Linked DNA regions of Saccharomyces cerevisiae S288C. Changing the gene in region 2 together with the main gene of any one other region gives a genetic interaction. Each region holds a gene or a part of one and is shown on either strand. Other genes may lie near its edges.

What was found.
Region 1: mutations in PTH2 (region 2) and YGR122W together harm fitness more than expected from each alone (negative genetic interaction), as found in Saccharomyces cerevisiae (one large-scale study listed by BioGRID).
Region 3: mutations in PTH2 (region 2) and YOL029C together harm fitness more than expected from each alone (negative genetic interaction), as found in Saccharomyces cerevisiae (one large-scale study listed by BioGRID).
Region 4: mutations in PTH2 (region 2) and PDH1 together harm fitness more than expected from each alone (negative genetic interaction), as found in Saccharomyces cerevisiae (one large-scale study listed by BioGRID).

The regions. Positions count from the first base shown.
Region 1 is NC_001139.9:732,259-735,691, forward strand, and holds YGR122W (uncharacterized protein), read left to right. Parts: upstream 1-1,676; coding exon 1,677-2,885; downstream 2,886-3,433. Other genes in the region: ammonium permease MEP1, read right to left, coding at 1-669; YGR121W-A (uncharacterized protein), read left to right, coding at 1,154-1,369.
Region 2 is NC_001134.8:112,238-115,241, forward strand, and holds PTH2 (aminoacyl-tRNA hydrolase), read right to left. Parts: upstream 1,191-3,004; coding exon 564-1,190; downstream 1-563. Other genes in the region: protein phosphatase regulator SHP1, read left to right, coding at 1-471; type 2C protein phosphatase PTC3, read left to right, coding at 1,525-2,931. UniProt on the Saccharomyces cerevisiae protein: The natural substrate for this enzyme may be peptidyl-tRNAs which drop off the ribosome during protein synthesis.
Region 3 is NC_001147.6:269,260-272,046, forward strand, and holds YOL029C (uncharacterized protein), read right to left. Parts: upstream 1,162-2,787; coding exon 556-1,161; downstream 1-555. Other genes in the region: GAS5 (1,3-beta-glucanosyltransferase), read left to right, coding at 1-382; YAP7 (Yap7p), read right to left, coding at 1,374-2,111; ribosome-binding protein MDM38, read right to left, coding at 2,744-2,787.
Region 4 is NC_001148.4:556,798-560,466, reverse strand, and holds PDH1 (putative 2-methylcitrate dehydratase), read right to left. Parts: upstream 2,083-3,669; coding exon 532-2,082; downstream 1-531. Other genes in the region: citrate (Si)-synthase CIT3, read right to left, coding at 2,630-3,669. UniProt on the Saccharomyces cerevisiae protein: Catalyzes the stereospecific dehydration of (2S,3S)-2-methylcitrate (2-MC) to yield the cis isomer of 2-methyl-aconitate.

The DNA.
Region 1 (3,433 bases), on a different chromosome or scaffold from region 2:
AAACCACAGTATGGATGTGCCTAGAGTGACCAATGAAACATTATGAGGCCTGAAATTTATCAGTAACTTTTCATTTCTTTTGCCCAAAAACCAAGAGTAAACAAACCCGGAAACAGCGCTTAATATTTCAATGTTGCCGCCGCCTGCCCAATCGAGGACTCCCCATTGGTATGCCCAACCACCTGGTGACCAAATCCAATACGTCACTGGACAATATCCAATGGTAGCTAGAATAAAGAGAAAAACCATGTGCGGTAGCAGCCTGCCTCTTTCGGCAGTGGCGCCAGCGATAATACTTAAGTTGACGCACGAAAACATCATTTGGAAGGTTGCATACGCGAGCTCAGGGTAGGCATCTTCATCGAATTTTTTTCCGTACACGTTTCTAAAGCCAAACGAATCTAGATTCCCAATGAATTTATTATTCGGAGCGGACTTTGAAAAAGCTAGAGAGTAACCCCAGAAATACCATTGCAGTATACCGACCAAAGTCGCCATTAATACAACCCAGATTAGTGCTAGTGCAGACTTCCTTCTTGCCAATCCGGAGTACAAGAATCCCAATCCGGGCACCATAAAAAATACTAGGGCGGCACCTAATATCATGAAGGCCACAGTGGGGCCATCGTAGGTTTCAGTCGTTAAAGGCCCTGTAGTTCGACTCTCCATAGTTTCTACAGTATAAGAATCCGTACTGCAGTTATGTTTACTAAAATAATTCTCTGATCATAAGCCTAAACAAGTTACAAGAGCGCCTATATAAATAAACTACCTTTTAAGTATCTTATTCTGGAACTGCATTATCGACTGGTAAGCAGAAGGTGCTATAGAAGCCTACACCACTTTTCCGATTTTTTTTTTTTTTTTTTTTCAGGAAAAACATCTTCCATCAATACTTTGTCATTTCTTTCTTCTTCTCTTCTGTGCTTACATAGCCATAAGATGTCACACAAGGGTGTCTGTAGCAATTGTGAATCTTATCGTTATCGCAATCTCTGAGATGTCTCATCCAATAAGAGGGGCGCGTGTCCGCAGAGATAAGCAACCAGGGCCTTTTCTTTTGCACTCAGCCTGACAAAGGGAGGGGAGGCGCAAAACAAAGTTCGTGGCAAAGGACAACCGTAGAAGAGCATCGCCATGTTGATTTTGAAGAATGTCAAGACACAAGTACAAGTTATGGATGTGCATCGCAAAGGGAAAAAGGGGAGTGGGGGAAAGAAATACGTTTGTCCCTAAGTGCTCTTATGCTCCCTTTTGTGCTTCAGAGGTTCTTGATCAATTATTAAGAGGGGATAACTCTATCGTATATAACTTTTATCTTAAAAATGGTTCAGGTAGTGTTTATATAGGCTCAGTCTTTCTTATCTGAAAAAAAACAGTACGGGATTTTTTGTGCGCTCGAATAGTGCCGAACTCAATTACGGGCTGTGGTAACACTTGAGATCTTGTCTTCCCTTACAAATAGCTCTAGGGGTGTTGCATGTAGCCGCAGTAACATCTTGAAGAAGTGTACACTTTTGAGGGGACGCCATTGTGTTACGTTCTATGTATTGAATAGTATAGTTTTCAATTTTCCTGCGCTGACGTAAACCGGCTGTAAGAAAAAACGTATAATCGAGAACTGGTTATTCAAAGGTTGAACTTTAAAGTGAAAAGTAGCTCTAACAAAATAAATCATGCGTGAGAATGCAATGTCTACAAAGAAACTTCCCTATAAATTATCTGGCAGCAGCAAAATAACAACTTCCATACCTAATGATTTAATCATACTGCGAAATAATTGCATAAATTCACTGAACAGTTCCTCGTCCAAAGCTGACAGCATTACATGTATAGATACGTGGCTAAAATACACAGAGGGTTTGTTAACCCACAGGTACGAAGCTAATAATGACGCCGCTCTCATTGAAGAGGAGATAGCGATTGCGTTAATCAATGTTGCCGTATTTTATCAAGACATCGGTATTGAAACATTGTACAGAGCTTATGAATCTTCACAAGCGTCAAATAACTTATGGACAACAAGCGGGACCTATCTAAAGAGAGGTCTAGGCTTAATCTGCTTTCTTGGAAAGAATTTTCAAATAAACACAGCTAATGATTGCCAAAAGATGCAGGTTCTCAACGTCCTTAATCAGCTATCATTAGAGTTTCAATTGCTGCAACAACTAGGGATTGTCGTTTTAGCACTGTCTAAACTAAGATCAAAAATCAGCAAGGATGCTGTTGCGGACCTTGAGCCTCAAGAATTGGAAGAGCTAGGCAAGTCCAGTGTCTTTTACGCTAAGCTTTGTATTGGATCTTATAGCACTGCTTCGCAATGCCAAGGAGGCCGTATAGTGGACGCATTATTTATGAATTATTTACAGAGTTTGACCTATCTCTTCCTATCAATCAACCAATACAACAATGATGAGTGCGGAATTGCCATTGGGATGCTCCAAGAATCGATCAAAAAACTGTTAAATATAGTACCCAATTCGCAACTAAAAGAGTTGGACATTTTATCCTCAACCGATATTACAAAGAAGAGGGATCTTATAAAGATGTCGTTTAAAAGGAAAATACATGGGTCTACTTTAAAAAACCAACGGATATTTGAGAAGAAGGTGCCATTTTCATCCAAAGCGTACATGATGCCGTTATTGAAATCTTCATTAGACGATTTTGTTATCCCACTAACGATACTGTTAAGGTACAGATACCAGACAACCAATGAGAATTATTCCTTCAAAACGGTTGAAACCGACGTTTCTAAATTGAAGGAGCTTTTCCCCAGGGGAAAATCGTCAGATATTGAAGGCACTGTATGGAGTTTCCAAGATGGACATCTTACATTTGCAGACTCAAATAATGCAACCCACAATTGCGGTAATTATTTTTGAATTGAATCAAACGCCGTTCGAACGTAGAGGTCAATAGTCTATATGAATAATATTTTTAAGGTCTACTCTACTATGAATTTTGCATAAAAATATACACATGTTAGAATAAGGAAACCACTATCTACTAATCACGGCTAACCACTGCAAACAATGGCATTATTTACTAATATAATTATGTGTGTTGGAGTGAGAATCAATTATAGTCTACCGATCTGGTGCTCTTGTCAGCAGTATATTATTTTTGAGAAGAACTTTCCTTTTTTTTTTATGTATACGTAATGATCAGAATTTTTTAATAAAGATGTACTTCAAAAGCTTTTTTTAATATTCATAGTAGAATTTAGTGAATAATTTGATAATTGTTGGGCTTCCATTGTTGGTAAAGGCTATTATATTAGTTTTGGAATAAAAATTCAACTATCGTCTATCAACTAGTAGTCATACTACCAGTATATTATCATATACGGTGTTAGATGGTGACATAGGTTATGAGAAGCTGTCATCGAAGTTAGAGGAAGCTGAAGTGCAAGGATTGATAATGTAATAGG
Region 2 (3,004 bases):
CAAGGGAGGGCTCCATTAAAGCTCTTAGATGTGCAATTTGGACAAGAAGTTGAAGTTAATGTATATAAAAAATTAGATGAGTCTTATAAAGCTCCGACGAGAAAACTGGGCGGTTTTTCAGGCCAGGGCCAAAGACTAGGATCTCCTATCCCGGGTGAATCGTCACCTGCGGAGGTTCCAAAGAATGAGACACCCGCTGCTCAGGAACAACCCATGCCGGACAATGAGCCAAAACAAGGCGACACCTCCATCCAAATTAGATACGCAAATGGCAAAAGAGAAGTTTTGCACTGCAATTCCACAGATACAGTAAAGTTTTTGTATGAGCATGTGACATCAAATGCGAACACTGACCCATCGAGGAATTTCACCTTGAATTATGCCTTTCCTATCAAACCAATAAGCAACGATGAGACAACATTGAAGGACGCTGATCTGCTGAACTCCGTTGTCGTGCAAAGATGGGCATGAGCATAAATATACAAAAACAGAAACGGGAAAAGACTTCAACTTAATATATAAATGCACGTATATCTATACCCGTAGTATATATCATTTGTACCTCAATACAATTTCAAATCACCTGTTATTTGATCCAATACTGCTTTTGGAGCAGGTCCTAAACCCAATACGGTGGCACTTCCCGCAGCAATCTGTGTTCTACCAGCATCATGAATAACTGCTGCATTCACCCCAAGTGATATAGCCTTCGCATACAACTCGTCCATTGTAAACTTATCTGGACATTTCAACGTTATTTTAGCCTGTCCAGCATTTAGCCATCTTTGTGTCATAATTGGGTTGTATGAAGCACGCGCGGGGTTTGTAGCAATATGTCTAAAACATGACAATGCTGCGTGACAGCATTGTGCCGCTATTTTGCCCTTTGTCATGCCAAGATCTTGACGAATCACCAATGCCATCCTAACTTCTCCAGGTATATCATTCAATGAAGTGGACTCAATATCTTCGTCCTCATCGCTCTCATCTTCGCTTTCACTTTCCTCCTCATCAGTGTCATTGTGTAGCTTTCCTTCCTTCATTTCTTTAGAACGCAGTAAAGTAGCTGAGGATTTCTTAGTTGATGATGCGTTCGACGTACCCAACTGGTAACCCACGGCAAAGGAGATTGCGGTGAAAGTAGCCCATAAAGCTATGGTGTAATTCGAAGAAACTGTCATCTTTTCCATTAAAAAGACGTTATCATGTTACTCCGCTGTCAACAAGTAATATAGCAAGAAACAATTAGCTCTTATGCTTAAGAGCTTCTAGAAGAGTAGTAATAACCTTTAAACATTATTTTCGTCAGGCGTGATATCAGCGAGTTGAAGAAAAAACAACATGGGTTGTCCCTCAAGAGAATAAACTCAAAGGAGTAAAAGGTGTTTAGAGCTTGTTGGCTCGATTGTTGCCACCGGAAGGCCCCTTTCTGTTTTTAGACTATATTCATTTTACTTTTTGAAGTTTCTATTATAGGCAGACGAAGAAGGCCAAGAAGACAAATCGAAGAAAGAGAGAGATAACATGGGTCAAATATTGTCCAATCCAATTATCGACAAAGAGCATCATTCTGGTACGGACTGTTTGACAGCGTTTGGACTATGTGCCATGCAAGGCTGGCGTATGTCCATGGAAGATGCCCATATTGTTGAGCCGAACCTTTTGGCTGAGTCTGACGAGGAACATCTCGCATTTTATGGTATATTTGACGGTCATGGTGGTTCTTCTGTAGCGGAGTTTTGTGGCTCTAAAATGATATCTATACTGAAAAAACAGGAGAGCTTCAAGAGCGGTATGTTAGAGCAGTGCTTAATAGATACCTTTTTAGCTACAGATGTTGAGTTGTTGAAAGATGAAAAATTAAAAGATGACCATAGTGGTTGTACAGCAACTGTGATATTGGTATCTCAATTGAAAAAGCTACTAATTTGCGCCAATTCCGGTGATAGTAGAACAGTTCTATCTACTGGTGGTAATAGTAAAGCAATGTCATTTGATCATAAGCCCACATTGTTAAGTGAAAAATCTCGTATTGTAGCTGCTGATGGTTTTGTTGAGATGGACCGTGTTAATGGAAATTTAGCGTTATCAAGAGCCATAGGTGATTTTGAATTCAAATCTAACACAAAATTGGGACCTCATGAGCAAGTCGTTACATGTGTTCCTGATATCATTTGTCACAATTTGAATTATGATGAGGATGAATTTGTTATTTTAGCATGTGATGGTATTTGGGATTGTTTAACTTCTCAAGAGTGTGTTGACTTGGTTCACTACGGTATAAGTCAAGGTAATATGACGTTGAGCGACATTTCATCTAGAATCGTAGATGTTTGTTGTTCACCCACAACTGAAGGCTCAGGAATTGGCTGTGATAATATGAGTATTTCCATTGTTGCTTTACTAAAGGAAAATGAATCTGAGTCACAATGGTTTGAGCGTATGAGATCAAAAAATTACAATATCCAAACGTCTTTTGTCCAAAGAAGGAAAAGTATTTTTGATTTCCATGATTTTTCGGATGATGATAACGAAGTGTTCGCAATAACCACCAAAAAATTACAAGACCGCTTGAATCGTAGTAAAGATAATGACGACATGGAAATTGATGATCTTGATACCGAATTAGGCAGCAGTGCTACTCCCTCAAAGTTATCAGGTGAGGATAGAACTGGCCCTATTGACTTGTTTTCGTTGGAGGCTCTATTAGAAGCCGGGATTCAAATAAGGCAGAGGCCCAGCTCCGACAGTGACGGCAACACTTCTTATTTCCATGGTGCTTCTTTATCAGATATGTTGGCATCTTTAAGCAATGCGGCTGCAGGAGAAACAGAACCTAATGATGCTGATGATAACGATGATAACGACGGCGAAGAAAACGGCAAGAATGAAAATGCGAAGAAGGGTTCCAAGATTGAAGAAATTGAATAATAAATATTGTCGAACCGTACTTTGCAACGAAAGAGTAGTCAAACTTTGTTATCTTTATTTGTTATTCCTCTTC
Region 3 (2,787 bases), on a different chromosome or scaffold from region 2:
TAATAACACTTTGCCTGCTATGCCAAGTGCTGCTTCTGCTTACTTCACATCTGGAGCAGGTTCTCCTATGGGAACCGGAATCGCCACCCAACAAAGTTGTGATGCTAAGGACGATGACGACGAAGAAGACGACGACACCTCCTCTTCATCCTCTTCTTCCTCTTCATCTTCATCTTCCGCTTCTTCATCTTCTGAATCATCATCCTCGACTTCAAAGGCATCTTCCTCCTCCCCTTCTGCTAGCGAAACGAGCTTGCTAAAATCTGCCGCATCTGCTACTTCGTCCAGCCAATCGTCCTCGAAATCAAAGGGTGCTGCCGGAATTATTGAGATTCCTTTGATATTCCGTGCTTTGGCAGAACTTTATAACTTGGTTTTATGAGTTTTCACCCCCGTTCTTTACCACATTGTTTCTAATTATTCCGTTAGCGCCGCTTACTTTTAATGTTCTTAAGATAAAAAAACATCATTAATATTATTATTAAAAAATTCATATATATACCTATATCTATATGCACTATTTATGCTTCCACTTTTCTTTTCTTTCTAAATACATCATTCCAAGACGTTTTTGTCCATCTTATGTAATGCATCCTTGATGCTTTGCAATTCTACTTTCTGTCCACGAACGTGCAATCCAGATGCAATGTTCTCTAACGCTGATGAGATCGAAGTTGAATCCTCAGGATTTAGTTGTTCTTGGATACTTTTATTTTTTTGCATATGTTGACGGATTTTTTGATATGTGTAACTGATCGGCAGATACCTCTTTGCATCGGAAGCCGCATTCATTTGTGCATTCTTGCAGGAACATATTTCGGGTAGCTTGATTGAATTGTAATTTACGTCAGTTTGTTGTTCATTTAGATCCGGTGACAACGCACTGTTGGAAGAGAAAGAGCTTGAACTACATTTATTCGAAAGTGATTGACAAAAATTCCTACTATGGGGGTCTGATCTACATTGCTTGCAGCTTCCAGGTATCCATGACCCATCCTCTTTAGTGATCGGTCTATTCTCGCTATCGTAGATTTCTTTGTCTCCACAGCATTTCGATATTGATTTCTTAGCATCGGATTCTATTTTCTTTTCTGAACAGCAAACGGGGACTAAGGATGGCATTATGTTATTCTTTTGGTTGCAACATGTTACTGGTTTCATGGCATCTTTATTCCTACAACATTTTATTTTTTTGTTGCCACTGCCTGCACATGCATTGATACTGCTGCTGCATGAAGACAGAGGTGAATTAATATGGCCATCAAGCGATGAATTCGTTGAACTAAACTGTCTGCCGCTCAGATATTGATAATCGTTGGCTATATCAATCTCAGACAAAGACTGGTCTGTTAATACCGCGGGCACATGAGATGTTAACAATGGGCCTTCAGCTTTCCTTTTTTTAAACTGACAGCGCCGATTGGTTTAAAGTTTTCTACCATTTCTAATATCGAAATAGGATTGTCTGGCGGGTTTTCTGGCTGCTGTTGAAATGGAGTATTAACAATCAAAGGCAAGGCTTTTTGCAATTCGTTGTTTAATGCTATTGATTTTTGCAAGTTTTCCTTTGTATCGGAAAACTCAGATTCCAGCAGTTTATATTTCCTTTGCCAATCATCGACCAAATTGTGTAGCATCTCAACCTTCTCTTCCAGAACCTGGATTCTTGTTGTTCTGCGTTCCCTATATGCTCTTTGCGCATCTCTATTTTGCCTCCTTCGCTTTTCCACGCTATCGACACCGTTTTCATCACCACTTCCGTTGCCTTCATCATCAGATTTCCCCTCATGACCTTTTGCGCCTTCGTTCTCATGATCTTTTGTGGTCATTTGGTCTTTCTGGTTGGAAGTTTGAACCTTCTTTATCTTGGACGATCCATCATTATTAGCTGATGCATCCCCGCGCTTGGATTTCGGTTTGCGGCCCGGTTTTAGGCGCTGTGGTAACTCCCAATTCTTGGATAACTTAATAGCTGACGGTCCTGATGTACTCACATTTCCATCTGGTGAGGATGGAGGTGGAGACGTCGTAGACATGGAACCCTGTTTATGCCCCAATTTGAAGCCTTTGGGCTTTACGCTAACTGCTACTACAGACCTTCGTTGTCTCATGATCCATTGAAAGTGTGCGTAAATGACAAAATTTTGTGCCTTTCTATATTCTTTAATTGATGATTTACTTCCTTGATAACGGCTCAACAAACGAAGAGCAATTTTCAAATTTCAAAAGAAAAAACCGTTGAAACTGTTCTTGAGCAACTTTCAAGCCTCTTATGATGATGTGCTACAGATTGAAGTACAGGTGAAAAGAGGAATAACCAATAGCCTTGTTTGCTTTCTACGGTGGGGCAGCGGATTTTCTCTTTTATGCTTATGCTTCTTCTTCCATATATTACTAATTTTTCTCGAGCGAGCAGCTTTACTGCGTGCATTACCGATGAAAAAAATCGCCGATATATGAAAATCCAGCTCATAAGATGCTGATTAAGGAGTCATGAGTGAAAGGACCCTCGTGGCCATCACAAAAAAGACACTTTGCTCCTGTATAAAAAAAAAAATAAGGCGGTAGTTTAGATAGGGTGTCTATTATATACATGCATAATAATTTAGTTTTGAAGGGTCGCTGGTTTTGCCGTGACGTACGCTTCTCTTTGATCTTTTGCCATTGTTGTCAGAGAAAAGAGAACCGATTGACTTTTTTTTTTTAGTTTTTTTTAGTTTTTTTCTTAGGCTTTGATCTAATATCAATCTTTCTTAATGACAAAAGTCTTCGCAGCTTGATCGGCCG
Region 4 (3,669 bases), on a different chromosome or scaffold from region 2:
ATGAACACTACTAAATGGATGATATTTTAGAATTTTTATTCCAACACTTACAATAATACTAGCCCAAAGATGATAACTGACTCTGATTCCAACACTGTGGATTGAGTTGATAACACCCATTTATCAACTAATCCTGTATTGAGTTTTTAGCTAAGGTGGTTAGAGCATAGAAATTGAGCGGATTTAGCTCAGTTGGGAGAGCGCCAGACTGAAGAAAAAACTTCGGTCAAGTTATCTGGAGGTCCTGTGTTCGATCCACAGAATTCGCATTTCTATTTTTGTATTTTTCCATGAATTGACGAACTCTTGCAAGTTGAAGAAAGAAAAATAAATAGAGCCAATTATTTAATTTTTTAATAGTTATTATTATGTAGATAAATACCAGTAAAATTAAGCCAGCATAATTAGAAAACCGCATGTTCTTTGGTTTAATTATGTTTTGAAAGTGATTTCTTGTTTATCGAAACGGCGCCTTTTGTCTTTAAAAATTGAAGTAGGTACCATGCCGTTCGCTCTTAAAGAGCCAACCATTCATCCCTCAGTAAACAAATCCATGTATTTGTCGATTTGCATATTCAAAAAGTTTGTTTTTGAACTTACCTTCATTATAAGGTCGACTTTATCAGGGCTCTCTACAAAATGTTCGCGCAGATGCCTTTGAAATTTATTCATTAGTAATGGTATTCCTTCCTCTCGTCTAAATTTGTGACCAACAGGGTACTCTACAAAAATTTCATCCAACTGCGTCCCATCGTTCAGCTCTATGAGAAGAGCGTTTCCTATCGACCTTTTATCAGGATCGTGATAGTTTTGAGTGAGATGAGTATCTTCGATACAGTACATTTTCGATCTCAAGTTATCGATCTCAGGATTTCTTGCGACCTCATCCGAATAATCAGTAGCTGTGAGATTACCAGTAATCAGCGGAACCGCGATCATGTACTGGATACAATGATCCCTATCGGCATAATTATACAGAGGACCGGATTTATCTATAATCCTCATTGCCGCCTCTTGAGTTCTAATTCTGATCGATTTAATATCTTTAAAAGTTTTCCCTTGTTTGGCAAGAATCCTATATGCTTTTACAGCAGCTTCTACAGCAGTTTGCGCATGGAATTCGGCAGGAAATGATATCTTGAACAGAACGTTTTCCATGACGTAGGAATCATATTTTGATCTTTGTTGGAATGAAAAAGGTTTACCCTTAAATAAAACGTCATAAAATCCCCAGGTTCTAGCTGTTAATACTGAAGGTATCGTGCCAACATTAGCATTTTTGACTAAATAAGCCAAGTTTACAGCCCTCGAAACTGCATCTCCCGCCGCCCACGACTTTCTAGATCCAGTATTTGGGGCATGACGGTAAGTACGCAGTGATTGACCGTCTACAAATGCTTGTGACAATGCTTCAATAGTTTGTTCCTGGCTCAGGCCCAGCATCTTCGAGACAACACCAGCCGTTGCTACTTTCACGAGTACCACATGATCTAAACCTACTTTATTGAAAGAATTTTCGAGCGCTATAATACCTTGGATTTCATGCGCTTTAATCATTGCCTCTAATACGTCTTTAACAAGAAACTGTTTTCCATTCTTTCCGTGGGTAGCCTTGTTTAATCTGGACAAGTGATCCGCGACAGCTAAAATTCCCCCAAGGTTATCTGATGGGTGCCCCCACTCGGCAGCTAACCAGCAGTCATTGTAATCTAACCAACGTATTAGAGTACCAATGGCAAAAGCTCCCTTCACTGGATCCATAACGTAAGATGTGCCCAATATTTTTGTTCCACTGGGAACTATTGTTCCTGGCACAATTGGTTTAATAATATTTTGAGCCTGCTTAAATTTCAAAGCCGCCAAGCCACAGCCTAGAGTATCAAGGAAACAGAGTCGTGCTGTATCTAGAGCCAAAGATGATTTTAATGGGGTTTCATGGACATATTTCGCGATGTCCTTCAAAACCTTATCTGGATTTGGTCTTTCATTAGTTTGTATAGACGCTGTACTCAGCGCAGCAAATTTCTTTTTAGGCAAGCATACCTTGATTTTATTATTTTTTAGATTTTTGGCTAAAAACATTCTGTTTGCTCTCGATCATCAGAGAACAGTAGAAAATACCAAAATACTATTTGAGAAAGTCCTAATAAGTTATACATACATTATGGCAGATTTATATACCTTATACACTTTCTTTGGTCATGCTTTCACATTAGTGAAGGTAAACATATGAGGGTAAAAGTTGAATGACTAGAATGTGGAGAAATAAGGTCATCTCAATAAAGTTTGTAAACGGCCCGAGGTCCGACATCGGGGAAGTGGCTACCTATAGACAGCATCATATATCAGAGAGATTGGGGACGAAAAGCGCGATGTGGTAAAAAAATAAGTCAAAACTCCAGAAATAATACAATCAGAGAAAAAAAAAAAAAATAAGAATATATTTTACTAACGAGATTGGAATTGCTGAATAATTTTTTGATAGGTGTGTTAACCGACCATATTTTCCCCTATATGTTTTCATGATGAATATGTATAAATTAGCTATGATTAGACATGCTGTATGGAATTTTATTTATATTTCAATATTGTAATAGCAAACGAAGCATTCTTGTAAATTGGAACTGCGTTACAACTTGTTAACATTGCTTGCTTTGGTAAGTGCTTCCAGACCCTCCAAGTTCAAACTCTTGGGCCTTTCAATTGGTAAACCTAGAATGCGATCCCAAACAAGTTGTGTCAAGGGTCCCATGGCCCTTGAACACCCAAAAATGACGGTAAAGAATAATAATTCCCTGATTCCATAATGATAAAACAAAATCCCCGATGCAGAGTCAACATTGGGAAATGGATTCTTACTCTTTCCGTGTTCCAACAAAACCTTAGGCGCTATTTCTGCCAATTTTTGCATCAACAAAACGTTCTTGTCGTTCTCAAATTCAATAGGCCTCTTTTGCGCAAATTCAAGCATTGCTGTAAATCGAGGATCCGGTTTACGCAAAACTGCGTGCCCATAACCGGGGATCACACGGTTTGAATTCAAAATTTTCCAAAGATAATCTTTGATTTCTTGTTCTCGTGCAATGCTGGAAATATTAGAGTTCATCTCTATGAGAAACCTTACTACTTCTTGTGCTGCTAACCCATGCAAAGGACCCGCTAATCCCATTATTCCAGATGAATAGCTGAGATACGGGTCACTCAACGCACTTCCAACCAAGTGGGTGGTGTGAGCAGAAACATTACCACCTTCATGGTCTACATGTATACCGGTATATAACCGCATCAAGTTTATGAAGTCCAGGGATTGCTGGGAAGTAAGGTTGCATGTATTAGAAGAGTTCGTTCCATTTGTCATGCCGAGCAGGGAACATATGTTTGTACACCAATCCACCTCCTCACTATATTGACCTAATGGGTGTCCCTCATTTGTAATGTTCGAATAAATTCTCCCAGTCAGCAGCGGGAGTGAAGCAATTAAATTTAGCGAATCTTCAAGAGTATCTTTCCAAAATTCCATCTTTCCTATGAGGCCCTTTTGGTAGTTTGTAGCAAAGAGGGATCCTTTGTTCATTGATGCTAAACCAATTGCAAGTTGGGTCATAGGGTGCATATCTTTGGGTAAACTTGACAAAACTTTCTCTGTATAATGTGGCAATTTCCTTCCAC